Cricetulus griseus: one gene and its partners. The protein of the gene in region 3 interacts with the protein of the main gene of each other region in a pairwise test. Links are inferred from orthologs where the notes say so. Each region holds a gene or a part of one and is shown on either strand. Other genes may lie near its edges.

Evidence for each region.
Region 1: the proteins of Sumo1 (region 3) and Sox2 interact in binary tests that used the Homo sapiens proteins (3 or more experiments, as listed by UniProt). The two-hybrid records come from large-scale screens. The link is inferred for Cricetulus griseus from reciprocal best matches to the Homo sapiens genes SUMO1 and SOX2.
Region 2: the proteins of Sumo1 (region 3) and Tnfrsf1a interact in a two-hybrid assay, tested with the Homo sapiens proteins (2 studies listed by BioGRID). The link is inferred for Cricetulus griseus from reciprocal best matches to the Homo sapiens genes SUMO1 and TNFRSF1A.
Region 4: the proteins of Sumo1 (region 3) and Topors interact in a two-hybrid assay, tested with the Homo sapiens proteins (2 studies listed by BioGRID). The link is inferred for Cricetulus griseus from reciprocal best matches to the Homo sapiens genes SUMO1 and TOPORS.
Region 5: the proteins of Sumo1 (region 3) and Zmym5 interact in binary tests that used the Homo sapiens proteins (3 or more experiments, as listed by UniProt). The link is inferred for Cricetulus griseus from reciprocal best matches to the Homo sapiens genes SUMO1 and ZMYM5.
Region 6: the proteins of Sumo1 (region 3) and Rad54b interact in a two-hybrid assay, tested with the Homo sapiens proteins (2 studies listed by BioGRID and IntAct). The two-hybrid records come from large-scale screens. The link is inferred for Cricetulus griseus from reciprocal best matches to the Homo sapiens genes SUMO1 and RAD54B.
Region 7: the proteins of Sumo1 (region 3) and Zcchc7 interact in binary tests that used the Homo sapiens proteins (3 or more experiments, as listed by UniProt). The link is inferred for Cricetulus griseus from reciprocal best matches to the Homo sapiens genes SUMO1 and ZCCHC7.

What each region holds. Positions count from the first base shown.
Region 1 is NW_023276806.1:114,823,173-114,827,448, forward strand, and holds Sox2 (transcription factor SOX-2), read right to left. Parts: upstream 2,986-4,276; 5' UTR 2,680-2,985; coding exon 1,720-2,679; 3' UTR 79-1,719; downstream 1-78. UniProt on the Homo sapiens protein: Transcription factor that forms a trimeric complex with OCT4 on DNA and controls the expression of a number of genes involved in embryonic development such as YES1, FGF4, UTF1 and ZFP206. Binds to the proximal enhancer region of NANOG.
Region 2 is NC_048601.1:21,074,904-21,078,825, forward strand, and holds the end of Tnfrsf1a (tumor necrosis factor receptor superfamily member 1A), read right to left. Parts: intron 2,584-3,922; coding exon 2,510-2,583; intron 2,380-2,509; coding exon 2,260-2,379; intron 2,007-2,259; coding exon 1,993-2,006; intron 1,828-1,992; coding exon 1,503-1,827; intron 1,392-1,502; coding exon 1,084-1,391; 3' UTR 530-1,083; downstream 1-529. Other genes in the region: Plekhg6 (pleckstrin homology domain-containing family G member 6), read left to right, coding at 140-149.
Region 3 is NC_048595.1:413,930,856-413,935,378, forward strand, and holds the start of Sumo1 (small ubiquitin-related modifier 1), read right to left. Parts: upstream 2,840-4,523; 5' UTR 2,695-2,839; coding exon 2,683-2,694; intron 1-2,682. UniProt on the Homo sapiens protein: Ubiquitin-like protein that can be covalently attached to proteins as a monomer or a lysine-linked polymer.
Region 4 is NC_048595.1:102,286,044-102,290,518, reverse strand, and holds the start of Topors (E3 ubiquitin-protein ligase Topors), read right to left. Parts: upstream 2,985-4,475; 5' UTR 2,873-2,984; coding exon of another isoform or gene 2,830-2,872; coding exon 2,827-2,829; exon of another isoform or gene 2,681-2,826; intron 2,303-2,680; exon of another isoform or gene 1,809-2,302; intron 1,645-1,808; coding exon 1,447-1,644; intron 1-1,446. Other genes in the region: Smim27 (small integral membrane protein 27), read left to right, coding at 2,828-2,872, 3,188-3,310; Ndufb6 (NADH dehydrogenase [ubiquinone] 1 beta subcomplex subunit 6), read right to left, coding at 3,939-4,007. UniProt on the Homo sapiens protein: Functions as an E3 ubiquitin-protein ligase and as an E3 SUMO1-protein ligase. Probable tumor suppressor involved in cell growth, cell proliferation and apoptosis that regulates p53/TP53 stability through ubiquitin-dependent degradation.
Region 5 is NW_023276807.1:211,870,995-211,875,197, forward strand, and holds the start of Zmym5 (zinc finger MYM-type protein 5), read right to left. Parts: upstream 2,926-4,203; 5' UTR 2,852-2,925; exon of another isoform or gene 2,692-2,851; intron 2,422-2,691; exon of another isoform or gene 2,219-2,421; intron 1,813-2,218; 5' UTR 1,757-1,812; intron 1,364-1,756; exon of another isoform or gene 1,210-1,363; intron 1,073-1,209; exon of another isoform or gene 900-1,072; intron 1-899. UniProt on the Homo sapiens protein: Functions as a transcriptional regulator.
Region 6 is NC_048595.1:125,719,817-125,723,541, forward strand, and holds part of Rad54b (DNA repair and recombination protein RAD54B), read left to right. Parts: intron 1-1,938; coding exon 1,939-2,101; intron 2,102-3,725. UniProt on the Homo sapiens protein: Involved in DNA repair and mitotic recombination. May play an active role in recombination processes in concert with other members of the RAD52 epistasis group.
Region 7 is NC_048595.1:98,697,461-98,701,660, forward strand, and holds the start of Zcchc7 (zinc finger CCHC domain-containing protein 7), read right to left. Parts: upstream 2,864-4,200; 5' UTR 2,745-2,863; intron 1-2,744.

The DNA of each region.
Region 1 (4,276 bases), on a different chromosome or scaffold from region 3:
ATAAGTAAGGGAATTTTGCAAGCCGGTCTTCGCTTTTCCCTCGCCCCAAACAGGAAAACGTAGAGGAGAAAGTTTATGAAGTCAGGAAACAAAGACAGAAAACCACTTGTTTCCTCACACAATGGCAGGGCTAGAGTCACCCAAGCACCTACCCAGCAGAACACTCGGCGTGTCTACTTTGTAATTATTCCGATACAAGAAGCATCATTTTCCCCTATAAACCACATTTCAAAGGGCCATTGTGTTGTAAAGAAAATGAAAACAAACCCAGCCAACCTGGCTCTGATTTGGCTCAATACCCCATCTGCTAAGCTACATGAAAATTTCAGAATCGACTCCTTCTGGCAACAAGTGGTACAAGCTAGCTTAAGCCCACATCGCGTTTATTCACGCTGCTTAGGAAAGGAGGGCGTGGACTTACAATATATGTCTCTAGTTTCTGTTTTAGAAATGACAGCGCATTTCAGTTTTCCAGCCATCTTTTTCTTCTAAAGTTAATGCTAACAGGCATTGCTGGTAACGTCAAGCCTGGTGGCTCAGCATGGTCTTCTAATTTCCCAAGTTATGTATAAGTATTGCTAGCCAAAGAAATGAAAGACTCAGGCATAATTCCAGTGTCCATATTTCAAAAATTTATTTATCTCAAACTGTGCATAATGGAGTAAAAACTTAAGTTGAAAATGTAGCTGTTATAAGGATGGTGGTATTAGTTCAAATATATACATGGATTCTCGGCAGCCTGATTCCAATAACAGAGCCGAATCTTTTAAAATACAACTACGGAAAATAAAAGGGGAAAAAAACTTAAAATATCACAATAAATTTACAGAAATATTACAAACCATAAGAAAATATTCCAAACACAGTAATTCCATATTCTTTTATCTGAACAAAATGGAAAGGTGGGACTGAACAAAAGCTTTTATAAATTACCAACGATATCAACCTGCATGGACATTTTTTTTTTTTGCCTTTAACAGTAAGTTAAAAATTTAGTACAATCTAGAACATTTGCCCTTTTTAAACAAGACCAAGAAAATAGTCTTGCCAGTATTTGCTCTCAAGTTTTCCTTTTGTACAATTTTAAAACTAAAATGTTCAAATCCGAATAAATTTCTTTCTTCCTTGTTTGTAACGGTCCTAAATTTAAGCTGCAGAATCAAAACCCAGCAAGAACCCTTTCCTCGAAAAATATTGGCAAATTCTCAGCTTATAAACAATGGACATTTGATTGCCATGTTTATCTCGATAAATACTGTACAAAAGTTGCTTGCAAATATTAAAACTTTTTTTTCCGTCGCTCGGAGTCTAGCTCTAAATATTACTGGTAAAGACTTTTGCAAACTCCCTGCGAAGCGCCTAACATACCACTAGAACTTTTAAAAAAAAAAGTTTTGCGTAGTTTCTTTCTCCAGATCTATACATGGTCCGATTACCCCTCCCTCCCGGCCGCCCTCAGGTTTTCTCTGTACAAAAATAGTCCCCCAAAAAGAAGTCCCAAAATCTCTCATAAAAGTTTTCTAGTCGGCAACACGGTTTTTGCGTTAATTTGGATGGGATTGGTGGTCTTTTCCGCAGCTGTCATTTGACTGCGGGTAATGAGATTTTTTTTCTTTCTTTGAGCATGTCAGATTTTTCTTACTCTCCTCTTTTGCACCCCTCCCAATTCCCTTGTTTCTCTTTGAAAATCTCTCCCTTTCTCAGTTCGCGCTCCGGCCCTCACATGTGCGACAGGGGGAGTGTGCCGTTAATGGCCGTGCCGGGCACCGGGCCGCTCTGGTAGTGCTGGGCCATGTGCAGTCTACTGGGAGCAGCGGGCTCCGGCACCTCGGCGCCGGGGAGGTACATGCTGATCATGTCCCGGAGGTCCCCGGCCTGGCAGGGCGCCCTGGAGTGGGAGGAAGAGGTAACCACGGGGGGGCTGGAGCTGGCCTCGGACTTGACCACCGAGCCCATGGAACCCAGCGCCATACCGGGGGTGCCCTGCTGCGAGTAGGACATGCTGTAGGTGGGCGAGCCGTTCATGTAGGTCTGAGAGCTGGTCATGGAGTTGTACTGCAGGGCGCTGACGTCGTAGCGGTGCATGGGCTGCATCTGCGCCGCGCCGTGCGCGTTGAGGCCCGGGTGTTGCGGGTAGCCCAGCTGCTCCTGCATCATGCTGTAGCTGCCATTGCTCCAGCCGTTCATGTGCGCGTAGCTGTCCATGCGCTGGTTCACACCAGCGCCCAGGCCGGCGCCCACCCCAACCCCGCTCGCCATGCTGTTCCCGCCCGGGGCCAGCAGCCCTCCGGGAAGCGTGTACTTATCCTTCTTCATGAGCGTCTTGGTTTTCCGCCGCGGCCGGTATTTATAATCCGGGTGCTCCTTCATGTGCAGAGCGCGCAGCCGCTTGGCCTCGTCGATGAACGGCCGCTTCTCGGTCTCCGACAAAAGTTTCCACTCGGCGCCAAGGCGCTTGCTGATCTCCGAGTTGTGCATCTTGGGGTTCTCCTGGGCCATCTTACGCCGCTGCCCCCGGGACCACACCATGAAGGCGTTCATGGGCCTCTTGACGCGGTCCGGGCTGTTCTTCTGGTTGCCGCCGGTCGGTGCCGCCGTGGCGTTGCCTCCTCCGCCGCCGCCCCCCGAAGCTTGCTGCGGGCCCGGCGGCTTCAGCTCCGTCTCCATCATGTTATACATGCGGGCGCTGGGCGCGGGCGCGGCCCGCCGGCGGCCGCCGACCCTCGGCCCGGCCGGGACTGCGGGGGCCGCGCGCGGGGGCCGGGCTGCAGGGGCCGCGGGCGGGGGTGTCGGCGTGCACGGCCTGCGCGGAGATCGGGCGGAGAATAGTTGGGGGGAAGCGGAGCTCGAGACGGGCGAAGTGCAATTGGGATGAAAAAACAGACGCTCTCCTCCTCGGGCCGCCGCGATTGTTGTGATTAGTTTTTGGAAAGGCTTAAGCCTCGGGCTCCAAACTTCTCTCCTTTCTTTCTCCTCTTCTTTCTCCCAGCCCTAGTCTTAAAGAGGCAGCAAAGTACTTTTCCCTTTTTGCAAACACTCTCTTCTCTGCCTTGACAACTCCTGATACTTTTTTGAACAAGTTAATAGACAACCATCCATGTGATGGGGGCTGTCAGGGAATAAATGGGTTTCCGGCGGCCAATCAGCAAGCGCCGGCTCCTGCGCCGGAGCCCAGCCTCGCCAGAGGGTTTTGCATGAAAGGGGGCGGGGCCTGCCGCGCCGCCGAGCCGAGCCCAGCAGAGCGCTGTGCCCAGAGCCGCGCGGGGGAGGCGGGCCCGCAGCCTGCAGCCGGCCGCGGGGGAACCTTTGTATCCCCCTTCCTCAGCAACAGGTCACGGCGCACGCCTGTTCGAAGGAAGTGGGTAAACAGCACCAAGACGACAGCTCCTTCCCCCCTTGCTACGGAATATTGGCTCCCTCTTGGGTACATAAGGGAGGATGGGGCGCGGGGAGCTGGGGCCAGGGTGGGGCAGGGCCCATGGGTGGTTCAGGGCGACCGTCCAACTAGTATTTCAGGAAGCTGGCAGGGCCGGAGGTGGTGTGCCATTGTTCCTCCGCTCATCCGAGGCACTGCTCTCGGTTCCAGCCCCTCTTCCTACCTTGGTGCCAACACCCCCTAACCCCCTCATCTCACAGTACAGACAAGAAGTTAGACCCAAGCCTCGGGCCCCAGTGCCCTCCTGACTTCCACGTCATCTGCTTGGTTCCCAAACAAAAGTCCTCTGCCTTTTTGGCCCACTGAAGAGCAGAGCTAGGGACAGGCCTTGTTCACAGTCTTCTAGCCTGACTCAGGTGTGGTTTAAGGAACCGCAGCACGTGTCCTCAACCCTAACTCCCTCCTCCACCAGTCTGTCCCATCCAGAGGGTGCAAAGGCAAAGCTTGAACTCTCCTCCCACTCTCTTTCTAACCCCCACCCCCCGACACAGGAGGATTTCAGTGGTGGCAGTTTCAGATGAGAGCCTGGGGACGAAAGAATCAACAGAAAGAGACTCCAGAGTGCAGCGATGGGGGGAGGGTCACGCAACTTCCTGGCATCCTACCGTGAGGCACAGAGGTGGCATTTGGGCTGTGCTCACAAACTCCCTCCCACGCAGCGTTCCCAGGATGGGAGCTGCGCTGCCGGCATTGCCCCTGCTGACTGGCACGGTGGTAGCCGTGAAGGCCCGGCCGAGTTGGTTTAGGGAAGCACTGGGGCCTGGGAGGCGCGCGGGGTTCAGAGGTACAGGTGCAAGCCAAGTGTGTAGGGATAAGGCCTGCGGAACCCCGGGAGCCGGG
Region 2 (3,922 bases), on a different chromosome or scaffold from region 3:
CAGTGTGACGTGAGGGAGGGGCTGTTCTAAGGAAGGCAGTGCAGAGCAGGGACCAACACAGGGAGGGCACTCAGCTTCAGCTGTCACCCCACTCTGCCGTTTGACCTTGACCTAATGCATCTGTCTCCTTCCTTTACAGAGAAGCGTGAGGAACGCCGAGGCCCAGTGTCACATCTCCTAGAGGAATTGTCTCCCCAAGAGTGCTGGTCACCACCCTCCCCCTGGACTCTACCTCAAGGACCCACTTCAAACCAAGCCTGACCCAGGCACCCGCCTCCTGCTCTGGGGGCCCTGAGGTCAAGAACTGTACATTTGTGTCTCACAGACACATCTCTGAGCCCCACATAAAGCTGCTCGGAAACATGGCTATTGGTCCATAGTGGATGAGGGTGGGAGAAGGGACGCATGGGCACCCACGGGGCGGGGATGCTTGCACAGTCTACTCTGTAAACTGGCAGCACGGCTGGATTTGCCAAGCCACTCCTCTCCTCGGGTCCTGGGCTCTGCCCAGCCTCTCCAAGCTCGGAGGTCATTTTTAGACTTTTAGTGTATTTACAAGAGTTCACGGCTCCAGCTAGAGACCCCATTGTTCTGTGCTTGCCCCTATCTTAGACAGTTCAGCTGTGTTTGTCCAGGCAGGGAGCAAAGGGAAGCCGAGTTTCCCTTAGTGTGATATAATTGATACAAATATTGCTTACCTACTGTGAAAAAGGCCCAGGAACCAACTGGGGAGGTCCCGAGGAGCCTTGCTTGAGTCCTGTGCATCCCCAAGTGGGCATGAGATATAGTGTCCCTTTCCTCTACAATCACCTGTTCTGGCTTTTGGCACCCTTAGCCTGCTGGGAGCAGGCAGATGGCACATATTGCTGCCCCGCACAAGTAGTTGGCTCTGGGGCGTTCCTCGTTAGCTGAGAAAAGCTATGTACACCAAGTGGCGTAGCACCAAGGAAGCGGCCGCTAGCTCGGCTCTGCCCCTTTCAATGCCCTTCCCTCCTTTTCGTCCAAAGAGGAGGCCCAAAGGGCATCAGAGCTTCTTCTTGCCAGGACTGTCCTGAAGTCCCTCCCTAGAGGCGGGGTGTGGCCTCACCGCGGGAGGCAGGGCGCAGACGAGGAGGCGGAGCTTCCGAGCGCCTCCTGGATGTTCTCCAGGCAGCCCCGCAGGTTCATGTCGCAAAGCACCTGGCCCAGTACGTCCAGCGTGGCCTCGTGGCGAGGTGTGCGCCGCCGCCAGGCTTCCAGCATGCTGTACTGGGCCTCGCGCATGCAGCGCCCGTTCTGCAGCTCCAGCCGCTCGATCTCGTGCTCACTCAGCCCCAGGAGCCGCATGAACTCCTTCCAGCGCGAGGGAGGCACGCCATCCACCACCGCATATAGCGTCGCGGGGTCTGCAGCTGGGGACAAGGACCGTGTGCCTTCAGCGGCAGCCCTGCCGTCTTGGCCTCCGCCCTGCCCGACTCCTTGCAGGAGTAGAGTCCCCATCGCTGCTGGGAGCCCAAACTCACCGTCAGGTCGCTGCGGGTGGGCACAGTCCTCCCATTTCTTAACAGGGGTGGGGATCGGCAAGGTGTGGGACGCGAAGGGGAGGGATGCGTTGAGAACAGGGTCAGCTCCCTGAGTTGGGTCCACCTCCCTTAGAGGTGGCACGACCCTGAAGTTGGGCCAGTTACTAGGGTCGAAGGGGAGGCCCGGGGTGATGGGTGTGTTGGAGACAGGACTGAAGCCTGGGGTGGAGCAGAAGCCCAGAGTGGGGTTGAAGCCAGGGGTAGGGCTGAAGGTTGGGGCTGGGGCGGGGGCTGGAGTTAGGGGCTTAGTAACAACGCTTTCCACCTGAAAGAGAGAAGGCAGCATATTAGTGGGGGAAGAAAAAGAGCCCCTCCGGGCTTTTGATTCCTTATGGGGGTGGAGGTAGAGGAACTAAGGGAGCCCACCACCCCAGTCCAAGTAATCTGGGTATCAGGAGTTTGAAAGTTGAAGTTGGAGTTTCCCTCTCACCTCTTTGTCAGGTGCTGAAAAAAAAAAAAAAAAAAAAGAAAGAAAGCATCATGAATTTCACTTCCCTCTCAACACCAGCACCCTGGCCTTGGGGACTTGTGGTGTCATGCCTCAGGGTCTATGTGGCCCCAGGGACAAGAGAATTACTGATACAGTATGGCTTCCCTCCTGTCATCCAGGATCTTAGCCATGAACAAAGGGGCCACGCCTCATCTCCCGCCATCTTCCCACACCTCCCACACCTCCACCAACACACCCCACACTCACTGATGGAGTAGACCTTGGGCTTGGGCTTCCACCGCGGGTACTGGCACATTAAACTGATGAAGATGAAGGATAAAAGGCAAAGCCCGAGGAAGATAACCAGGGGCAATAACACTGGGGTACCTGCAGAGTAGCAGAGAGGATGCTCAGTATGAGGTAGCAGCAGAGACTGGGGAGGGCAGAGGGCAGGCTAGGGAGTCAGGCAGCCAGCCGGTGAGCCCGTGAGCAAGCTCACCAGGCCACTCCTCCTCACCTGGGTCCTGGGGGTCTGTGACATTTCCAGTTGGAGGTAGGCACAACTTGAAACAATCCTGATTTTTTTTGCAGCTGGAAGGAGAGGCAATACTGGTGAATAGCAAGACTGTGGGAGCTCTTTGCTCTGCCATCATTTTTGCTATCTCTTAGTACAGTGGAACCCGACTAGAGAACTGATGCAGAAGAATGAAACAGTTCCCCACGCAACCACTTCATTTTACAAGTTGAAGAGATCTTGCTAAGACTGTATTGACAGCAAGGAGTTCCGGTAGTGTGTGCGTGCAATCTCAGCACTTGGGAGGCAGGGGCAAGAGGATCAATTCAAGGCTATCCTTAGCCACATACCGAGGTCAGGGTCAGCCTGGGCAACAGGAGAGACCCTGCTGAGAAAGAATGGAGAGAGGAAAGGAAGGAGAGAGGAAGGGAACAGGCAAGTAGGCTGTGTGTAGAGAAGTCTAAAGTAGTCACAGTCCCACACAGCAGTTCACAACCATCTGTAACTCCGATCCCAGTGGACCTGATGCTCTCTTTTGGCCTCTGAGAGTGCCAGGCATGTACATGGTACACATATATACATGCTGGCAAAACGCTCATACACATAAAATAAAAATAAATATTTTAAAAGTATTTTTTTAAATGCCAGCCGTGGTGACACATGCAGCACTCAGGAGACTGAGGCAGGCAGGTCTCTGTGTGTGCTCCATGGTAGAGGCATGACACACATCATGCAAGAGCCTGGATTCCACAGTCAATCAACAGTTAAAAAAAAAAAAATGAAAAGGCAGTGATGGTCAGAGTATAAATTCCATTCCAGTCACTGACTAATGACGTAACACAAACAAACCATTTTCACTTTTGTGGCCCACAGACAGGGAGATCATACCACCTCTTACTTTTGGGGATTAAGAGTCAAGTACTTCTCCCTGAATGGTGAGCACTTAGTAGGTGGCAGCTGTCAGTGAACTGAGTTTATCGTTGTGTTTGCTGGTGGGACTGTAGCACAGAGAGACCTACAGTTTGGATCTGGAGCGTCCTGTCAGGGTCCATGTGGTGAAGGCTGGATCCTCAGTATTTTGGGACCTGAGGACTGGTTGCTTGCCTTTGACCCCACTCCACACCCTTTCTGCCTCTCAGCTGCTATGAGATGAGCAGCCTTGCCCCACTGTGTGCTCTGATCACCAAGCTCAACCTCAGCCCAGGCTCCAAAGCCTCAAGGCCGAACACTGTGAGCTGAAGGAAGCCATGATAAAAGAAACTTTTCTTTGCTTCAAGCTGATTAAGCCTCGGGCCCAGAAAGATGACTCATATACAAAGTTGAAGGACTTATCTCTGATGACACCAGCCACTTACAGCACTTGACTTTGGAGATGACAGGTCACACAAGCCTGAGCAGTTTTAGAATGTCTATCAC
Region 3 (4,523 bases):
TGTCCCAGCACTTGGAAGGCAGAGGCAAAAGGATCTCTGAGTTTGAGGCCAGCCTGGTCTGCAGAGCAAGTTCCAGGACAATCAGGGCTACACATAGAAACTCTGTCTTAGAAAACAAAATAAATAACCCCTAAAATGTTAGCATACTTTTTCTTCAAGTCAAAATTTCTAAAAGTAGCACTATTTCACACTCTTGCATATTGCTTTACTGTGTAGCTCAATTAAAAAGACTTGTTTTGGGCCAGGTGGTGGTGGCACTTGGGAGGCAGAAGCAGGCAAAGTGAATTCCAGGACAGGCTCCAAAGCTACAAAGAAATCTTGTCTTGAAAACAAAACAAAACAAAACAAAAGTTTGTCAGGTATTGTGATGCACATCTTTCACTCCAGCACTCAGAGGACAGAAGCAAGCAGACCTCTGTGAGTTCCAGGCCAGCCTGAACTACAGAATGAGTTCCAGGGCAGCCAAGGTTACATAGTAAGACCCTATCTCAAAAACAAAAGAAAATCCCAGCACTTGGGAGGCAGAGGCCAGCCTGGTCTACAGAGCAGAGTTCCAGAACAACCTCCAAAGCAATACAGAGAAACCCTGGGGGGGGGGGGGGGGAACAACACGGGACAAAAAAAAAAATAAACAAATCACACATGGACTAGCCAGGTATGGCATAACTCTAATCCTCCCTACTCTGCAACGATAAGTGAGGGAGGAGTATTTATTCCGAGTTCAAAGACACCTTGTGCTACAGAATGAAGTTCAAGAACAACCTAGGCAACATAGTGAGACTAAGTATAAGAGATTCGGATCTAGCTCAGTGGTATAGTGCTTGTCTGGCATGTACACATGTGAGCCCTAAGTTCAGTGCCCAGTAACAAGTACTACACCCTAGTGTGGCTTCACAGATCCCCTGAAAACAGCCTGTGTCCTAGGTTCTCTTTTCCTTTCTCCATAATCTTTTTTTTTTTTTAATAGTTTTTCAAGACAGGGTTTCTCTGTGTAGCTTTAGAGCCTTTCTCCATATTCTTAAATGATGTGAGTTCAAACTAGAGCAAAAATAATTTTAAAATTTCTAACTGTATGTTGCCCTTCATCAGGCTGACATGCCTTCTAGTTCCTTCTAAAATAAAAGACTGATGAAACTAAGCATTTACAGCTCATCTTTCCTCCCTTACTCGGAACTATCTGGAGAGATATTCATAAACGAATTTCTATCCAGATTAAACAGAATTAATCCAGATTATTTATAAACAAATCTACCCCACAATTAATCTACATTATGGATAGGCTACAAAAATAGAACCATATTATCCAGGTGGTGGGGAAGCATGCCTTTGATCCCAGCACTCAGGAAGCAAAGGCTGGGAATCTCTGAGTTTGAGGCCAGCCTGGTCTACAGAGCAGTTCCAGGTTAGCCAAGGCTACACAGAGAATCCTGTATCGAAAAACAATTAAATAAATAAATAAATAAATAAATAAGATTAAATTAAAAGAAAACAGTTCAACTACACTGTGGTGCTGAATGAAAAGTTTACTGAATAATTATCATTATAGACAAACGTCAAAAAAAATTTGAAAATTCAGTCCTCTAAGCAAACAAAAGGAAAAACAGATAAAAATCCTATGTATTAAAACTAGCCACAAACGTGGTAAACAAAAATGGGATGAAGGAAATTAAGGTGGCAGTATTCCTAATTTGAATGCCAATACCATGCAAATTCTTAACATTAATACGGAGACACAGCATTTTACTATTAATTGGCAGCTTTCTGTAAACATTCTGCAGCTGTAAATATTCAGTTTTTCTATTTTCCTCAAAAATATCACCTGGAAGAGGGTGATATGGAGGTGCATATAACCAAGATACGTCGTTTACGTGTATAAAATTGACTATGTTAAAAAAAAGTGCCATTTTTGAAAATGTAACAATCATAAGCAGGCTAATGCCCAGATGAAATAAATGGCTTGTTGGTGGTGGTACTCTAACCTAGTTTCGTTTGTTTCTCGGTTATTCTGAACTCTCCTACAACTAGAGAGTTGATGGACCAATCCCGAGTAAGAAATGGAAAGTACAGAAAAAGAGCCGACCGATCCGCACCCCCCAGATGGAAAAAAAAAAAAAAAAAAAAGACGCAGAAGGGAGCAGAGGCGGACAGGCCCTCCCGGCAAACACAACGGAAAGCAGCGTCTTCTGGGTCCCAGGAACCTCAGGCCAGGCTTCCTCTCCGCCCCCCACTCCGAGACCAAGAACCCAAAGTGGAGTGGAGCAGCTTTTCGGGGCTACCTACCCTCCCAGTCAGGGATTCCCTCCCGTTACATAACTAGGCCTGGGGCCCTGTTTCTGCCATCGGTCCTCTGAAGGGAAACGGTCGATTTCTCTTAGGTTGCTCTCGGGGACAGAGGAGCGGGCCTGGGCCCCCGGCGGACCCGCGAGAAACCTGGGAGCCGTCGAGAGAGCCGCGGCGCGGGGCAGCGGGAGGGGGGCGCGGGGAAGGCGGCGGAGGGCGGGTGTTCCCCGGAGCCCCGCGGTCCCGGGCGGCTGGGCCCGACTCGGCCGGGCGCTCCGCGTCCCTCGCGGCCCCCTCCCCAGCAGCAGCCCCCTCCCCCAGCTGCGTCCCCTCCCCCGCGCCGCGGTCCCCGGGCCCAGCCAGCGGCCGACAGCTCTGAGCCCCGATGCCCTGGCCCAGTACCTGGTCAGACATGGTGATGGTGGCTTCGCCCGGGGGTCTCCGCACCACAGCGGCCTCCGGCAGGCAGAACCTCACTCTGAGGTTTACAAATCTGTCTCTTCCCCACAGCACAACACCGCGGCTGCAGGGACTTCCGCTACGTATTGCGTCACTTCCGCTGCGCGCAAAGGAGACTTTGGGAAGACGGGAAAAGGAGGCGGGAAAACGCCTTGGGGAAAGGCCTTGGGGCGTCTGACCTGTAAAATTGCTTGCCCGGAGCAAGAGAACGACTGTGTGTTCTGCCGCTGGGAGACCCGGCCGGCTGCCTCAGCCCCCTAGGGAGACCAGGGCATCGCCACCAGGCTGAATGTTTGGGGTCAAACCGACATCCTAGACTCCTCCCTCTCGGACACCTTGCGCGCTTCTCCGAGCTAAACCAAGTTCTTTTGTCTGCTCCCAACCTTACTAACCGTCCCTAAATATAGGGAATCGCCGGTATAATATTTTTATTACCTTCTCTTGTTTGCTGCCAGCACACTCATGACCTTGATTTAGGACCACAACGAAAAGACGACCCCTTAGAACACATATTTTTTGTTTTTATTTTTGTTTTTTGAGCAACCCTGGCCGCTCTAGAACTATGTAGATCAGCCTGGCCTCGAACTCACATAGAGTCTCCTACCTCTGCCCCCAGCTCTAGGACAGTTTTAAGAGCTGTAGATGACTAAAATGTTGAAAGTTTTTAAGTTTGAAGTTATAGGCAGAAGGAGCTACCTCCAACCTATTAACTATTTGCCTTTCGTCACAGAAAGACCTAAAATTCTTTGACTACCACGACCTTCTTGCACAGGCATTAAGTGTGGATTACGGATATATAAGTAAAAAGAGTAAAATTGAAAAAATAATTGTTGTGTGTGTTTTTCCGATACAGAGTTTCTCTGTGTAGCTTTGGAGCCTGTCCTGGAACTCTGTAGACTATTCTAGACTCTGCTGCGTTAGAGGCATGTGCCACCACGCCCCCCAACCCCCGGCAAAAATGAAAATTCTAAATAAATCAATAACCTTTCACAGTATAAGACGTTAGTAAAAGAATCTTTTCGGACTGGAGAGATGGCTCAGAGGTTAAGAGCACTGACTGCTCTTCCAGAAGTCCTGAGTTCAATTCCCAGCAACCACATGGTGGCTCACCATCCCTTATGAGATCTGGTGCCCTCTTCTGGTGTGCAGATATACATGGAAGCAGAATGTTGTATACATAATAAATAAAATCTATTAAAAAAAAAAGAATCTTTTCTTAGGGGCTGGAGAGATGGCTCAGGGTTTAAGAGCACTGACTGTTCTTCCAGAGGTTCTGAGTTCAATTCCCAGCAACCACATGGTGGCTCATAACCATCTGTATTGTGATATGGTGCCCTCTTCTGGCATGCACTGTATACATGATAAATAAATAAATCTTTTAAAAAATCTAGGAAGTCTTTATTTAAAAAAAAAAAAAGAATCTTTTCTATAGTTAGTAATGAGGCGACTAGAGATGGCCCAGCGGCCAAGGAGCACTGGTTGTTCTTCCAGAGAACTCGGGTTTGATTCCCAACACCCACATACTCATTCACACCTAACCTGTAACTCCAGTCCCAGAGTACCCAATGCCTTTTTCTAGCTTTGTCAGCACCAGGCCAGGCCTCCATATACGGCATAAACATGCATGCAGATGAAAACACCCACCCATACACGTTTAAGCATTTAAAAATTAAAAATAGCAATATAATTGGTAATGAGACTACTGGAAGTTCACATGCAAAAGAAAGAATTTGAATCCCTATCTCACTGCATATACAAAATTAAAATGTTTCAAAGGTGTCTTA
Region 4 (4,475 bases), about 310 Mb from region 3:
TAGACAGAGATCCGCCTGCCTCTGCCTCCCGAGTGCTGGGGTTTAAGGTGTGTGCCACCACCGCCTGGCAACCAGCACTCATTTGAAAGAGGACAAAAAAAGTTATGTGAAGGGATATAATTCATGTGCTTGATGAACAGTAAGAACTCAACATAGCAGCATAAGTTATGGAAAAGTTTGATTTTGATAGTGACCATCATCAATAACTGATAGGTTTCCAAAAATAGTCAATAGTAATAAATAACAATTATATACCTAATGTATCTAAGCAAAGTGGTTAATAACATTCACAAGTAGATGTAGACAAACAAGAACAATGGCTGTTAAAAGCCATCTGGGTTCTATTTGTAAGTCTGAGTAATCAATTCTAAAAGTTATAGGACATAAGTGACCAAACTTAATTCTTATTTTGAGGGGTGGTTTCAAGACAGGGTTTCTCTGTGTACCCCTTGTTGTCCTGGAACTTACTCTAAGCTACACTGGCCTCGAACTCAGGGACTAGCCTGCCTGTCTCCCAAGCGCTGGGATTGAAGGCTGGAGCTAGATTTCAAATATCAGTATAAAAATAATTTATCCGAACCAGGCACCCTGGAATACCCTGCATTCCCAGCACACTGGAAGAGGAAGGCAAGAGTAGTCAGAAAATCAAGGTCATCCTCTGCTACAAAAGAACTCCAGGACAGTCTTGGCTACAAGAGTCCCTGCCCCAAAATGGGGCATTAGGGGTTTGCTTGAGAACTATTCCCCGTGAAAGCCACTCACTCCAGATAAGATGATTGAGTGCGCCAACTGCGGCTTTTCCTTTTGCATTTCATGTACTAAAAATCCAAACCCTCAATTCCTCCCAAACAACAATCTCTACCTATTAGTAGCTTAAATCTTAAGCACCTGTTTCTCTGTTTCTTAATCTAGAAACTTACCCACCAAAAAACGCTTTCCAGTTTCAGTCTTAAATCCCTGTGCTTACTTCTTCACTGCCCCTCTCCAGTCTACAAATCAGAATTACCAGCCCAGAAGGAAAGCTGCACTAACTAGATGTGTGATGAAGTTGCAAGGCACACAAACCCTGCCCGCCCACATGTTTAATACTGCACAACTTCACTGTCTTAGTGGTTTCCTTGCCCTGAAAACGGCTGGCATGGATGGAAAGACAGACACACGACATACATTACATAACAAGGATCAACTGAAATGCTACTCCCATTTCACAGACTGGGTCCAGGGGCTGAGGACTCGCCAAGGTCACACTTCCTAGCAGGGGCCGCAGTTCTGCTGGGACACACTGCACTTTCCAGTATTCATTCAAGCTCGCGCTCCTCGGGCGGCGCTGTGTGACACTCCCCTCCTTCGCCCACCGCCACCGATCCACAGGTGCCCCCGTGTCGTAGCGACATCGCGACCCCGGCCTTCGGAGGCCCGTTCCCGGTCCCGCCAAACCGGACTCACCTCCGAGGACGCGGGGGCAGGCCCGGCCGGGCCGCTGGAGGCCAGCTCCCGTCGGTTCAGTAAGCTCGGCCGGTGGCGGCAGGATCCGCGAAGGCGTACCCGGCGGCTTCGGCGCCTCCCCTCTTCAGCAGGCGCCAGAGGGGGCGCTTCTCCCTCCTCGCGAGACAGCGGAGACCCCGGCGGCGGCGGCTGCGACCCCTGTGACGTAGAACGCTCATCACCAAAGGCAGTTTGGGGGCGGAGAGAAGGCGAGGCCCATCCTTCCACCCCCTCCGAGCCCGCCCAGCAAACGGCGGCCCCACCCCCCACGTTCCGGGCGCGTGCGCCGTGGAAGGAGCCCGCAGGGGGCGGAGCCTAGGGCAGACGCCAGACCCTGCCCAGCCCCCCACCACGGGGGGCGCGTGTTTGGGGGTGGGGGCGGAAAGGCACGAACTCATCGCTGCCAAATAACGCGGAAAAACCGAAACCCCACGAACTTCGACGAGTTCCTGTAATCCTCTCGAGTGTAACAAGAATCGGACCGAGTCCCACAGAGCCTTCGTCCCCATGTCTTCTTTAGCTGGGATGAACACCAGGCGTCGAGCACTTCCCCAGCCATCGCCTGTCTCCTAGCGGCCTGCTTCCCCTTCCCGCCCCTGCAATCCAGACTAAAACCGTGTCTGACATCCGCGCCCGAAGCCGCGCAGTCCGGGCTCCGCCAGCCAGGGCTCCTGGGCGGACGTCGCCAGCATCCTCAGGCCGAGCTGCCCGCCTGCCAAACTGCTCTCCTTGGGACTTGGTATTTCACATTTGCTGAGGTCCTAGACTCGATTAAACATCCCGTCGACACTTGCTGAGTGGCAGGTCCACCATGCGGGTAACACATTTTTAAAAATGCCACATATCTAAAAACATTCCCAGTAGTAAGCGACAGCATTCTTACTAGACGTTCTCGATGAATGGCCGAACTAACAGTTTACAACGATTCTCCAGTTACATAAGGGAGTGGATGATACTGTTCGTGCCAAGCATACACATATAATCGTTTATCCACATCTTGTGGAAACGGACGCGGGTATGGGACGGCAACTTTAATTCTAACAGCCTATTTTCAAATAAACTCACATGCACACGATGGCACACTATTCTGCGCTATAAGGCACTGCGACTGGAGGAAAAGGGGACTGAGGAATGTCCATCTAAGCGCAAAAAAAGCGCGATTTTAAAATTTTTTATTTCCTCCGCTGCCTGAAAGGCGGGCTAGGCCCGGATCACGTGACGCGCCCCAACTTCGGGCGGAAGCGCGCCGGGAACCGCGGAAAGATGGCTGCTGCAGCGGGGCGGACGGCTTCGGGGAGCGAGCTCTAGGTCCGCGCCACCCCACCCCTGCTGATCCCTTACCATGAGGCCCGTGAGTCGCCGCACCCTGGACTGGATTTACTCCGCGGTAGGTAGCGAGGACGATGGAACTCCCAGGCGCCGCACCCCTCTGCCCGCGAGGCAAAGGCCGACTGTTCGTCTACAGCTCGGAACTCCAAAACCCATTCCTATATTGAGCGTTTACGCCCCGCCCCCGACTCCGCCTCTTCCTGGAGGACACGCTTTTCCGCCCCTGACGTCATGGCTATCGGGCCCTGGCCTCAGGCCTGGGTCCTAGTGCCTGACAGGCTGCTCCCACCTGTAGCTAGCTGGTAACCTGGCCTGAGCAGGCCAACTACCCAGCACATTGATTTTTCTTTTCGCCTTTCCTCCCCTCTTTTAGTTGCTACTTGTGATCGTTTTGCTCTCCTGGGGATTCGTCATCTACGCATCAACTGTAGCTGCACGACGACAGCTACAGAAGGCTTTTCCAGACAAATTCTTTGAAATGAACGAACTTTGGTAGTTCCCAGCAAAACCTGGTTTTGTCCCTCAAATGGCACCTATGTAGACTTAAAAGTAAAATTCACAATACAAAATTGTGTATGGTCTTTTGTGATACGCGTTAGCATGCTAATTTTTCATATGGATCAAACAGCCCTTTCTTTCTGTATCAGGTTATAGATTTTTTGTTTGTTTGTTTTTTGTTTTTCGAGACAGGGTTTCTCTGTGTAGCTTTGGAGTCTATCCTGGAACCGGCTCTTGTAGACCAAGCTGGTCTCAAACTCACAGAGATCCGCCTGCCTCTGCCTCCTGAGTGCTTGGACTAAAGGCGTGTGCCACCACTACAGGGCCAGATCATAGATTTTCATTCTAGTGCTTCAAACACTTCATAACCTCATGCCACATCAGTATGTAAACAAACCTATCACGTGATTAAAACGTGTTTTGCATCCTGTTTATCAAAACGGACAGGAAAAAAGTAGCTGATGGCTCTTTAGTATTTGTCTTTTTTACTGTCGGTCTCAAGAAATATTAACAACACTCTGAGAATAAGCTTTATTAGTTACTTTTCCAGGAAACAGATTCAGTAAATACGAACTATATGAAGAGACTTTTGCTGTTACACAAGTCTTTTAAGTTTTAAGTGCTCTTTAATGATGTTGATCAGGAAAATCTTTCATTGGCGGAATTACTTCTCCAGTCTCCAGAATTGTATCACCCTAGGAAAACAAGTAAATGTTTAGTAAACTGTAAAATGTTTCAACATCTATTTAACACAATAAATTACTGTAAGCATACTTTACATTTTGTTAACTCACAATTAAGCCAGGCATGGTAGTGCATACACGTTTAATCCTAGTACTCTAAAGGCAGAGGCAGGTGGATCTCTAAATTTGAAGCCAGCCTGGTCTATACAGCAAGTTCCAGAACAAATAAGACTACATAGAGAGACCCTATCTCAAATAAACAAACTTTCAAAATTATTTTCCATTTTACTTAAAACATTTAAATTTGGGGGCTGGAAAGATGGTTCAGTGGTTAAAAACACTGCTGCTCTTCCGGAGGACCTGGGTTCAATTCCCAGCACCCACATGGCAGCTCACGGCTGACTCTAACTCCTGTTCCAGGGGACCAGACACCCTCATACAGACATACATGAAGGCAAAACACCAATGTGCATAAAATAA
Region 5 (4,203 bases), on a different chromosome or scaffold from region 3:
ACAGGTATGTCTCTGTATGAAGGTGTCAGATCCCCCTAGAACTGGAGTTACAAACAGTTGTTAGCTGCCACGTGGGTGTTAATATTCAAGTGCAAATGTTCTTAATGTCTGAGCCATTTCTTTAGCCCCAAGGCTTTGAACTACTACTACTACTTTTTTTTTTTTTTTTGGTTTTTCAGAGACAGGGTTTCTCTGTGTAGCTTTGGAGTCTATCCTGGCACTCACTCTGGAGACCAGGCTGGCCTCGAACTCACAGAGATCTGCCTGCCTCTGCCTCCTAAGTGCTGGGATTAAAGGTGTGCACCACCAATGCCCTAGGGCTTTGAAATTCTAAAGCAGCAGCAACATGTGGATCATAACACCTTTGGCAAACCTTTATCAAAACCATTGTATTTTTTCTTTTTGAGACAGTGTTTCCCTGTATAGCCCTGGCTGTCCTGACACTTTGTAGACATTTGCCTGCCTCTGACTCCTAACTGCTAGGATTAAAGGCATGTGTCACAACCCACCATATTATAGTGTCTAAATTCTTTTAAATGTTTATTTAGTATTATTTAATTGTATGATTTTTTAAAATGTTTATTTAATTTTGTGTGTCTGGTTCCCCCCTACCACATCTCTCCAACAGGGTTTCTCTATATAGTCCAGTCTGGCCTTGAATTCAGAGTTCCCCCTGCCTCTATCTCCTGAGTACAGGGATCAAAGGCATGTGCCACTACACCCAGTCAAATATCCATTCTTAAAAACTAGACAGAGAATTCTACAGTCTGACACTACCCTAACTTTAAAAAGGCACATCTGATGGATACTGGAGAGATGGCTCACAGTTAAGAGCATTTGCTGTTCTTCCAGAGGAAGAGTTCTGATTCCAGCACCCAACTAATCCCACTTGCAAATACCTGGAACTCCAGCTCCAGCGAATCCAACTCTCTCTCTCAAAAATAAAAAAGATAGGGTTAACAAGTACTATATAGGGCCGGGGTTGGTGGCGCACACCTTTAATCCCAGCACTCGGGAGGCAGAGGCAGGTGGATCTCTGTGAGTTCGAGGCCAGCCTGGTCTACAGAGCAAGTGCCAGGATAGGCTCCAAAGCTACACAGAGAAACCCTGTCTCGAAAAACCAAAAAAAAAAAAAAAAAAAAAAGAGGAGGAGGAGGAGGAGGAGGAGGAGGAGGAGGTGGTGGTAGAGAGAAGAGGAAGAAAAATCACAAGGGCTGGAGAGATGGCTCAGTGGCTGCTCTTCCAAGGGACCAGGATTTAAGTCCCCACACTTCCAGTGCAGCTCCCAACCTGCTCTCTAGTTCTAAAGGATTTACTGCCCTCTTCTGGTGTTCTTGAACATTGCACCCGAGCAGCAAAACACCTATACAAATAAAATAAAATATTTTACAAACCAAAAGAACTCAATTTTTTCTCCCTCAATCTTAAAACATTTGCCAGTAATTTTTAGGTATTTAACGTTTATTTTAAAACTTACTTTAAATAGTTACTACTAGTTTAAAAAAAAAACAACAGAAATATCTATTGGAAAGGAGGTCAAAAATATTAAGTGCACAGGATTTTAATGAATTGGTGCTTAGTACTATTTAGGAGTTCTAGAGAAAAAAATGTTAGTGGTACCCACAGGTGGCACTGCCTCTACTATCCGGGCAGAGACCACTCAAGCAGCAACTTGACATAACAGAAGAGAGCAAACCTCATATGGAACAGTGTATCCTAGTAAGTTTAAACAGGAAAGCTATGCAAAATGACTCACGATGGAGATGTTTTCCTTATTTCTGCCAAATGTTTCACCAGATTGGCTTGAAAGTCCTAGAGTACAAGGACAAAACAAAACACCCTTTAGCACCAATAGCAAATGGAGGAGGTAGCATTCAACCCTGAACACCAGAGGAGGAAGTAAACCAAGGCGAAGTCGGTCCCGAGCTTTTCTAGCAACCTTCTCCAAATAAATAGCGATCAACTATTAAAATACTACAGCAGACCAAGATCTATTCTTTCCAGTTTCATTATTACCAGTAGTTCTGCAGAAGGATAAACGCGTCCTCCAGTGCCAGTAAGGGATTCCTATTTCTCCCAAGCCCACCCTGCGTTACCGCCCCACCACCACAACAGTATCAAGAAGGGGGAAGCGGTTCAACAACTGGTCCCAATTGCGGCAAGCACCTGCCCGGGACCTAAGGTTCCTACGCCTCGTAGGCCCGCGATAGGCACCAACCAAGTCAGCCAGGAGAAATTGCCTCACGTAAGAATATAAGCTGCTCAGCTCGGTGGAGAAGAGCAAAAGCGAAAACGCCGCAGGACTCAAGCGGCTCCGTCACCACCGAAAACTTGGGGTCTCGATCGGGCAGATGGGGAAAGCAGCCACCAGGCGGGAGGGCCAACGGGCCCCTCACCCGCCTACAAAACGAGGAAAACACCCCGCGACCTCCCGCGACCTCGGGTAGCCGCCGCCCCGCCCCGCCCTGCGTGCCCCGCCCCCGCCCAGGCGTCCGCCCCACCCAGCCCACCCGCCGCGCTCGCGCACTCCCTCGGGCCGCACGCAAAGACATCCGGGACATGAGCGCGGCCCCCGACGCGCCCCGAGGCCCCGACGCAGCAGCGATGCAGCAGCAATGCAGCAGCGGCGACATCCGCCACCGCGGTCTCAGACCCGGTCGGTGGGAGGCTCCCGACGCTGCCCTCACCCACCTCCGTCTCCTCCTCCCGAGGCTGCGCTGCTCCCAGCCACCCCCACTCTCCGCGGCCCTCGACAGGAAAGACAGCGGGGATAAGCCTCACCCGGTTCTGGCTGCAGCTCCGCGGAACGAACCTCCCCTCCCCCGGCCCACCCCCCTTCGGCGACACGCACAATTCCGCTCGGTCCAGTCCCGGCTTTAGCGCTGGTGAGGAGGAGGCAGAGGAGGCGGCGGCGCGGCGGAGCCCGGGGACGCCCCGCCCTCCGCACGCTCATTGGCTGCTGCCGAAGGCGGCCCGGAATGCCTCGGGCATGTCCATTGGCTCTGCCGGCCTTCTTTCACGACCCTCCTCGGTGAGGTAGTCGCAGCGGCTGTCCGTCAAATGTGGGCCACGCCCTCGGGCCTGCCGTTCCCTCCCCCCTGCCGCCAGCCTCGGGCTTCGCCAGCCCTCCCTCCCTCCCTCTCCCTCCCTCCCCCTCGTGCCCCCGCCCCGCCCCGCCCCCACTCGCCGGGTCCGCCCGGGTCAGGAGCCCGAGTGGCGAGGCCCGCAGTACAGGGCTCGCGGTTCGGGCCTCGGGGCGGGGCATCTTCGTCGAGGCTTCCCGTGGGCCCGGGATCGGGCCACCGGGCCTCGGCCTGCAGACGGTCGCCGCGGTCCCCCGCGACTCTGCCCGAGGAGAGACGCGCGCGGCCTCGATGCCCCAGCGTCCTCCCTGTCCAGACCCCCGCCCCCCTCCCAGGGCCCGGGAGACGGGCGAGCCCCGCGGTGCCTGCGGCGGGCCGAGGGGGCGGGCCGGGCCGTGGCTGCAGGGCACTGGCGCGCTGGCGGCCGCGCGGGCGCTTCCACCTTGCCTCGCCCGTGGGAATGGCCGGCCCCCCACCTCCGCCATGGCTGCGGCGGGAGGAGACGTCGTCCTCCATTTTGTGGGATCTGTTGGGAGAACTTGGTGCCATCAGCACCGGGCCCCGTGGGGCCGGGAAACTTGGCCCGCAGCAGCCCGGACCGCGCTCTACCATCGACCATGCGCTCGGCCGCTGAGGGCGTGCGCGCCTAGGCTGCGGCGGGGCCACACGACGGTGCGGGGCCCAGGTGCAGCCGCCGGAAGCCGCGGGCCCCCTAGCGGGCTCGCGCCCCAGGTCCGGGGCTGTGCGGGCTCGGCCGTCGGTGCCCGGCAGGGCGCGCGCTCCCGGGCCTGCCCGGCGTCTGTCCTCTACGTTGACGGGGCCTCGGGCCACCGCGCGCCCTCCGCTCCTCCTGCCCGCCGTGGCCCCGTGGGCAGCGACCCTCGCCCGGGAGCCCCGCCGGGCGCGTTCGGAGCGGAGCCGCGGGAGGGCGGCACGAGGGTCTTTTGTTCCTCGTCTACACCTACGGATGTCATGGTGCCGGATTTCCAGGACTCCAGTAAAGACCTGAGAGATGCGCCTCGCCCTGGCGGTTGTTAGCGGGATGACAACTGATGCTGTTGAGTTGCATCGAAGCAGTTGGTGATAGACCAAGTTGCTATATTCCATGCGAAAATACCCG
Region 6 (3,725 bases), about 290 Mb from region 3:
AAGCCCTATGGCAAATGCTGCACAAAGGACCAATGTTTTTATATTCAAGTGTCACAGGCTTTTTGGCCCATTTGCATACTTTGAGCTTCCTCAGGAATGCATTTTATTGCATGTAGTTTTCACTGAGCCAAAGGTTATCCTCTCAGTTCTGGCGTTCTTTGCCAGTGGGTCCTGCCAGTTCTTGTTGATTTGTGCCTGGGGATTCCACCCTTCTTTTTTGCCAGGAGGCTTACCTCACATGCTAATTTTGTAGCTTTGGATAAGTCCTCCTGACCTCACTCTCTACCCTGGCCATTCTAGCTCCTCCCTGAGCGCTTTTTGGGGAACTGAAGTTTAATGATACAACTTATAACCACTTCTTGCTGTTGAGGAAGGAATGTAGTTCCTTCCTGTGAGAGACCACAGAATTCTCTCTATTCATCATCTGATTGGAGAAGAGGACCCATACTCCTGTGGTAGGGATTGGCTGGGGTCTCCACATTAAAAGTAGTCTGGAGTTGCTGTGTCCTCAATGACTACAGAGGGTCCTGCATTCTGCAGGTCAGAGGGACTGGGAATAGATGCAAAGTTGTCAGGAAAGACACACAGACTTTTTTCTTTATTATTCTTTCTGTCCTTGTTCTACTCTATTCTTTTTCTGTTCTGTTCTTCTATCCTGATGTTTCCCTTCTGTGTCTTTCCTGATGTCTCTCTTCTCTGTCTTTATTCTTTTCCTTACAGCTCATATACCCCAGTGAAATCTTTCAAGCAATATAAAAATTACAGTGTGATTACATACTATTTTTTGCAAAATATTTTTTTTTTTTTTTGCCCCACCACCTGGGGCAGGGTGGTGGTGGTGGTGGTGGCAGTGGTGACAGTGGCAGTAAACACCTTTAATTCCAGCACTTTGGAGGCAGAGGCTGGCGGATCTCTGAGTTTGAGGCCAGCCCAGACTATGGACAGCTAGGGCTATTTCACAGAGAAACCCTGTCTCATAAAAACCAAAAAAAAATTATTTATTATGTGTATGGTACTCTGACATCTCTCCAGCCCCATGTTTAAGAGCACTGGCTGTTTTTACAGAGGTCCTGATTTCCAAGTCCCAGCAACTGTAAGATCCCCAGAAGCTCAGGCCCCAGGATCTCGGCCCAGGACCGTGGTCACCCCAATCACCAAGCGGATTTGAAATCTTGATGCAAACTGTATGAGGCTTTATTATAGTTTTGTAACGAGCTAACATTGGGGTTAGCTCGTGTCTTTCATTCACCCGCCATGGCGGATGGCTAGAAAAGACAGCTCGAAGCATCTGCATAGAGATCTTATAGGGCGGCGTAAGGGGAGTGTCTAGGGGTACGCACAGGCTCAGGATTGGTGTGCCTCCAAGCTTGGAGGGCTTGCCCTGTGTTGATTGGCCAACTGGTTGTTATGGCCCATAGGCCCTCCCAGGGTGGTTGCTATGCTCTGCGCCATTGCTGTGCACTTGTCTGTAAAGCACACCCAGAGCCATAAAGCATAGCACCACCAGCTAACTTCTGATTGGTTCCTTGCCACGAGGCAGGCATCTGACCTCTTAGTGACTAAGACAAGGTCAGACAAGCATGTGTTTGGCTGTTATGGCTGCCGAAATGGGGAGCTGGTCCCTTTATTCCTGGCGACCACTGAGAATCTATAAACACTGGCAAGTGTATCTTGTCAAATTCTGCCCCATGCCTTCAAGTGGAAGTGGCTCTTTGTTCTCCAAAATGTGGGGTGCTGTGTTTGCCGAATTAGTAGAGTGCTAGAATTATAGGATTATAGGTGTGTGTCCATCCCTAGTCCACACACACACACACATACACACACCACCACCACCACCACCACCACCACCACCACTACCACCACCATAAACGATGACAAGCTGTTGTGGTGTAGAAGTAATGGAAATGAGATAATATTGTTGCTGATCTTATTTTTCAGATTCTCTAGTTATGCCTCGGCCGGACAAGAATCACCAGTGGCTGTTCAATAGGAACTGCTTCCCTCTTGTGGATGTGGTGGTAGATCCTCATCTTGTCCGTCATCTCCGATCATTTCAGAAAGAGGGAATCATCTTTCTCTATGAGTGTGTGATGGGAATGAGGTAGGAAAATAACTGATAACAATTAGCTGTTTTGAGAAGAATCTGCACTATAAATGTTAGCTGGTAGGAAAAGCAACTTGTACTAAATATGTGCATTTTTCCACAGTGGTTCTTGGTGGAGCCTTGTGCTCCTTGTCCTGCTGAGAAGTAGACATTTAGGAGCAAGGACCTTAAGTAGCCTCTACCCCCACATTATCCATTTAATTTAGTCTTTTTATGGATATTATTTCACTGTTCCTCACAAAAACCCTGCAAGTTAGGTAGGGAAACTACCAGTTTCATTTTATGGACAATGATAAGAACAGAACTTTGCTTTCCCAACTATATGGCTAGTAAGAGGCAGTGTTAGATACAGATTATGGATTGTCAGCTTTTAGGTTGAAAGCTCTTTTCTCTAAACCTAAGATGTACCTCTGATATAAATATATGTGCATGAGCTGGGTGTTGTTGTTTCATGAATCCCAGCACTCGGGAGGCAGAGGCAGGTGAATCTCTGAGTTTGTGGCCAAGCTGGTCTACAGAGTGAGTTCCAGGACAGCCTCCAAAGCTACATAGAGAAACCCTATTTCAAAAAACCCCAAATAAACAAGCAAATAGATAAATAAATAAATGTACATATACTGTATGTTTACAGATACACACACACACACACACACACACACACACACACACACACACACACACACTTTTTTATGCTAGGGATTGAATCCAGGGCTTTGTACAAGCTTTTCTAACCTCACCAAGTTTTTTTTTCACTTAATCCTCACTTTCACATTGAACCAGCTATTTCCAGGCTTCAACAAAAGATCTAATTCCACAATATTCATGCTAAATTTATGCTTCTCTACTCACAAAGATGTGTGGATACTAAAAGTGTATTTGTTGGAAAGAACCATTCCTTTGACTTGAATCTCACAGCATAAGCAATGTGAAGGATGTTAATGGCCAAGGAAGTTGAGGAGAAATCAGTGGTATATCTCAGTTCCTCTCAGATCTCACTTCCATGAGGAGCTTCAGTTTAGATCCATCTGAAAGTGACACCTGGAGCTTTTCAAGAGCATCTAACTCTTATCAGTTTTTTAGTCCTCTTGGTGTGTGTGTGTGTGTTAATTATTGCGCCTTGAGTGCACATGTGCACGCACAAGGGTGCTCTTGAGCGTGTGCGCATCTGTGTATATGGACACAAGGACAATTTCAGGTGTCATTTCGTAGGTACCATCTACCTTGTGTTTTGAGATATGGCTTCTTGCTGATCTGGACTTGCCTATTTGGCAGACTGGCCTGTGAGCCCCCAGGGATCTGCCTGTCTCTGCCTCCACTGCCCTGGGATTACAAATGTGTCCCATAACGCCTAGCTCTTTACATGGGTTGTGAGATTGAATTTAGGTCTTCATTTATGCTGCAAATGGAACCATCTCCCCAGATGCTGCTTATAAGTCTTTATTTCTAATAGAACATAATTTAACAAACTATATTCATATTTTTAGTTATATCCTTAATTACATTGGACATTGTAACTTTTAAATATCATGTAATTATCTATAAAGAATCTCCTAGTGACTTTTCATTCTAAGTTATATTAATTGTACAATGTCAGACCTTTACCTAAGCTATTTTGGATGAG
Region 7 (4,200 bases), about 320 Mb from region 3:
CCTAATTCCAGGGCCGCACAGAAAAAAAATTAAAGAGCTAAATTACAGAGTTACAAATTTGTACTACTCTTGGAGCCATCCCAAAGGAAAGGGATTAAGAATAGAGCCATAGGCACACCTGTGAATGTATGCCAAAAATAAACTACGGAGCCATAATAAAAACTGACTTCTTTGGGTCTAAGGATTTATCTCTTTCCATGAAATGTAGAAAAATGAATTTAACAATTTAGCCCCTATGGCTGTTAAGAGGATTTTGTACCTCTGTACTTGAAAATTGTGTTCTGGCATAACATGCTCTCTTCTATTTATGTAGTTCATGGATGCCAGGTTTAAGGTTTGCCTCAAGCTGTTTTGTTTTGTTACAACCTTAATTATATCAATTCACTTAATTTTCTAAAAGTATACTCAGATATGAATGTAATGTATATATGCATATATCTATATACACATCCCTTGACTCAGAAGGGTTTCATAGCTTCTGTTCATTTTGACTCCCAGCATACTTTACTAGGTAACATGACATGTTTATTATGACAAACACTTAAATCTAGAAGGTACCTGCTGGATTACTTCACACAGCCCCCTTTATATACATATGAAGACACAGATCCTAGGACATGATGAGACCTACTCAAGGCTGGACAGTTAGTTAAGACACAGCCAGGATGATTCACATGTTCTTGACTCTACGGCAAGTATCACTAAAATTTTAAAACACAAATTTTAAAATAAATAAATTCAAATAAACATTCCATTATGTGCACTGGTTCTAACACCTAAATTTATCTGACATATCCATTTACTTCCCACAGGAATAAAACTTGAAAGATATTTTAATTAGGAGAAGGAGACATTTAAACATAAATTTATTATCTAAGAAACTCCTCAACTGGTACTCAAAAAAACTTTATCAAAGCCCCGTGTGGTGGTGCACAGGGGCACAAAGTAATCCTAGCATTTGGGAGATGGAGGCAGAAAGATGGGGAGTTCAAGGTTGGCTACTTAGTAAATTTCAAGTCAGCTTGGACTACAAGAGATCTTGTCTCAACCACTCTGTACCCCATCCCCAAAAGGTAAATAAAAGACTTTATCAAAGCCCTATGACTACTGAAGACTAATCATATTTTAAAATCTGAAATATCAAAAGTGGGAATAAGGCTTATCTAAAGAAATAACATTAAACACTCATTGTAGTAAAAAGGGGTAGGGGCAGATTAAGTCACTGGATTTCTTTAAGCTAGACAAAGGTTACATTTTCAAAATTTACTAAGATGGTAAAGTCAATAGTTCTCCTTAGAAGTTTATCTATGGTCATTCTGGACAGTTTGCTCTTAATTTCCTTCCAAAGTATTTCTTCCTTCTGGATGCCATAGGCCATCTTAGGTAGATTTAAATCCATGATTTGGTTTCACTCATATTGTGGTGCTGGGGATTGTATCCAGGGTTATGGGCATTCTAAGCCAGTGCTCTACCTGAAGCTGGGCACCTGCTCCACAACTGGATTTTTAAATCCAGAGTTATCAATGAACAATCTGATTAATACATAGTTTATTCTCAACTTAGGTTTATGAATTACAACTTTTAGTATGCTACTGGAAATGACAAAAGATACAAAATCACAGGAGTTAAAATTTTTGTCCATCTTTCAAATGTTACTATCACTTTCCAACTAAACGAGGTAAAGAATCCAAATATGTTACAGCCATGTCTCCGTAGAAGAAAAGTATGCTAAATTTACTTAGGCTTACTTCCAAGCACTCTTGGGACCCTATCTGGAAACAATACCTTTCCCTATTAGCTGTTGTCCTTTTCCCATGCACTGTTAACCTTGTAGCTATTATTCAATTTTCATCCCTAATTCTTCCTCAGTTCCTTACCCATCTTCTGATTGCCTTGAATGACAATACTAAACTGTCCCCAAATCGTAACACTGTCTTAAATATACACGCTTCAATTTAAGGTTCAAATGTTCAAAACGAAGGCAAGAGCTTTTTAAAGCAGCTTCGTCATTAAATTAAGGATGGCTTTATACTTGGGAAATACAGGCTCAGAGAAAACGGGCGAAAAATTTCCTTCATTCAACCCTGAAATCCCGGTAAACTCTGGCCTAAAGGTATTTTGAGCGTCAGCTGGAACTCAGGCCTGACAACTCCCCACCATGGTTTTCCCACTGTTAAAGGCAGCTCTCGCCTAAAGTTGACTACAACTGTCTCCTGTTGGGGTGTGAGAGTAAAGGGTTATCTTGGGAAAGATACTCTGCGTATACTGGTTATATAGAGGAATGGGGCACAGTTCCCAGATTCTTTGTGGTCCACACCAGCAGCGGCTACTTGACAGCACAAGCTTAGGGCGGCCCGGGACTGGGCGCACCCTGGAGCGCCAGGCTCCCCGCGACGAAAGGAGGCCTCCACGTTTACAGACTGACCCGCTTCCCCAGGACAGAGGAACCACGGGAAGCGGCGGGGAAAAGCAGACAGAAAAGAAGTGCCCGCGAAGGCCATCGTCACCCTGCCTTTCCTAGGCCCGGGTCTCAGGCCAGGGAGCCGCGAAAGCCCAGCTCCGCCGCTGAGCCGCGTGGGGCAGCGCGCAGCTGAGAGGCCATTAGCTGCGCAGCGCTGCGCCACGCAGGACGGGGAGGAGAAGGCCAGGGAGGGGCACACATTAGTTCCACAGCCCCGCGGGCGAGGCGGAGGCGGGGCAGGGGTCCCCGGTCGCGGACCGCTCGGGGTCCGTCACACACATACTCACTGCCGCGGCTGCGACCAGGAAGCACCAACCAGGAACCGAAACACGTAGAGGAACGGGGAGGGGCGAAGACAAATGAGGTAAGGAAGCAGTATCCGCGCGGACTCCAGAGGTGAGGAGGCACTTCCGGGGAAAACTCAGCTCTGAGGAGCTGTCCTTCCGCCCAACCCGCGAGTCCTCCTAGCGCATGCGTAGTAACTATTAACCCTTTGTGTCTCCGCCTGTAAACTTCAAGTTTGGCTCTGTTCCTTTTTCTGCATGCTTTCTTTCGAAAAATATCTCGGGTGAAAAAAAATTATGGTGCATATTTTAACTTACTGAGTTAGGCGGAAGAGATGATCCTTGCAGGGCAAAAGTGTGAACTCACTTTCGAAGGACAGGAAAAAAACTACAATTCCCACGATACCTTGGACGGGTCGACAGGGGCCGCCTCTTTCCTCGCGCTGGGTGACGCCCTGGTAGTAGCACGTGGCCGCAGAGCAGGTTTGGGACACTTTCGGGTTGAGGTCTCGGTCAGTAGAAGATTCAGGCTTGGTAGGTGACTTCGGAGAGGGATCCTGGGAACGCCACCGTGGGAAAAGGCTTTTTAGAGAGGGTCTGGCTTTTGTTTTTGTCGTCCGCTCCCCCACTCCATGTGACAGGTGACTTGAGGGCTTTTCTACCCTAAGGCTGTAAAGGGCATGCTGTGGTGCTTCCGCCTTTTTAACCCTTTGTGAACCTTGAAGAGTTGCACTTCTGCAAGGTGGCGTCAGTGGTGTTCCTTCTGGATACTACTACGAGACCATGTTAGCCGCTTCCAGCACTGATTCCCCTGGCCACACATTTAAAACATGTTTAATTATGGGGCGGGAGATGTAGTTCATTTGGTAGAGTGTTTGCCTACCGTGCTGGAGGCCCTGGGTTCATTCCTTAACGCCACTTATACCTATGTAGTGATAAGCTTGTAACCCTAGCATTCAGGAGGCAGGAAAATATAAATAAAAGAGTTCAAGTTCATCCTTGGCTACCGAAAGCATTCAAAGACAGTCTGAGCTTTCCCAATCAAAATGAAACAAAACCCGACGTCGACAACAACAAAAAACAAACAAACAAAAAACAGTAAATCCATGGGCGGTGGGGCACACGCCTTTAATCCCAGGCAGAGGCAGGTGGATCTCTGTGAGTTTAAGGCCAGCCTGGTCTACTATACCACACCCTACCCCACTCCCCAAAAAATCTATGTAGCCCTACAAATAACCAATTGGTTAGGTACTGACATCTCTGATAGATGAGTGTGACTGTAAATCTTTTTGCTAACTTTCATTGAATATATTAAGAGCCAAAGCTGTCAGCCTTCTACATTATTAGAAAAATAAACCTATATTTACTTAAGCTTGGAAAAGAAAAAAAAGAGGGAGAATGTTGCAGGAAAAAAGTCAGGCTATGCTAGAAAGTTCAAATAAAGTGGAAACATTA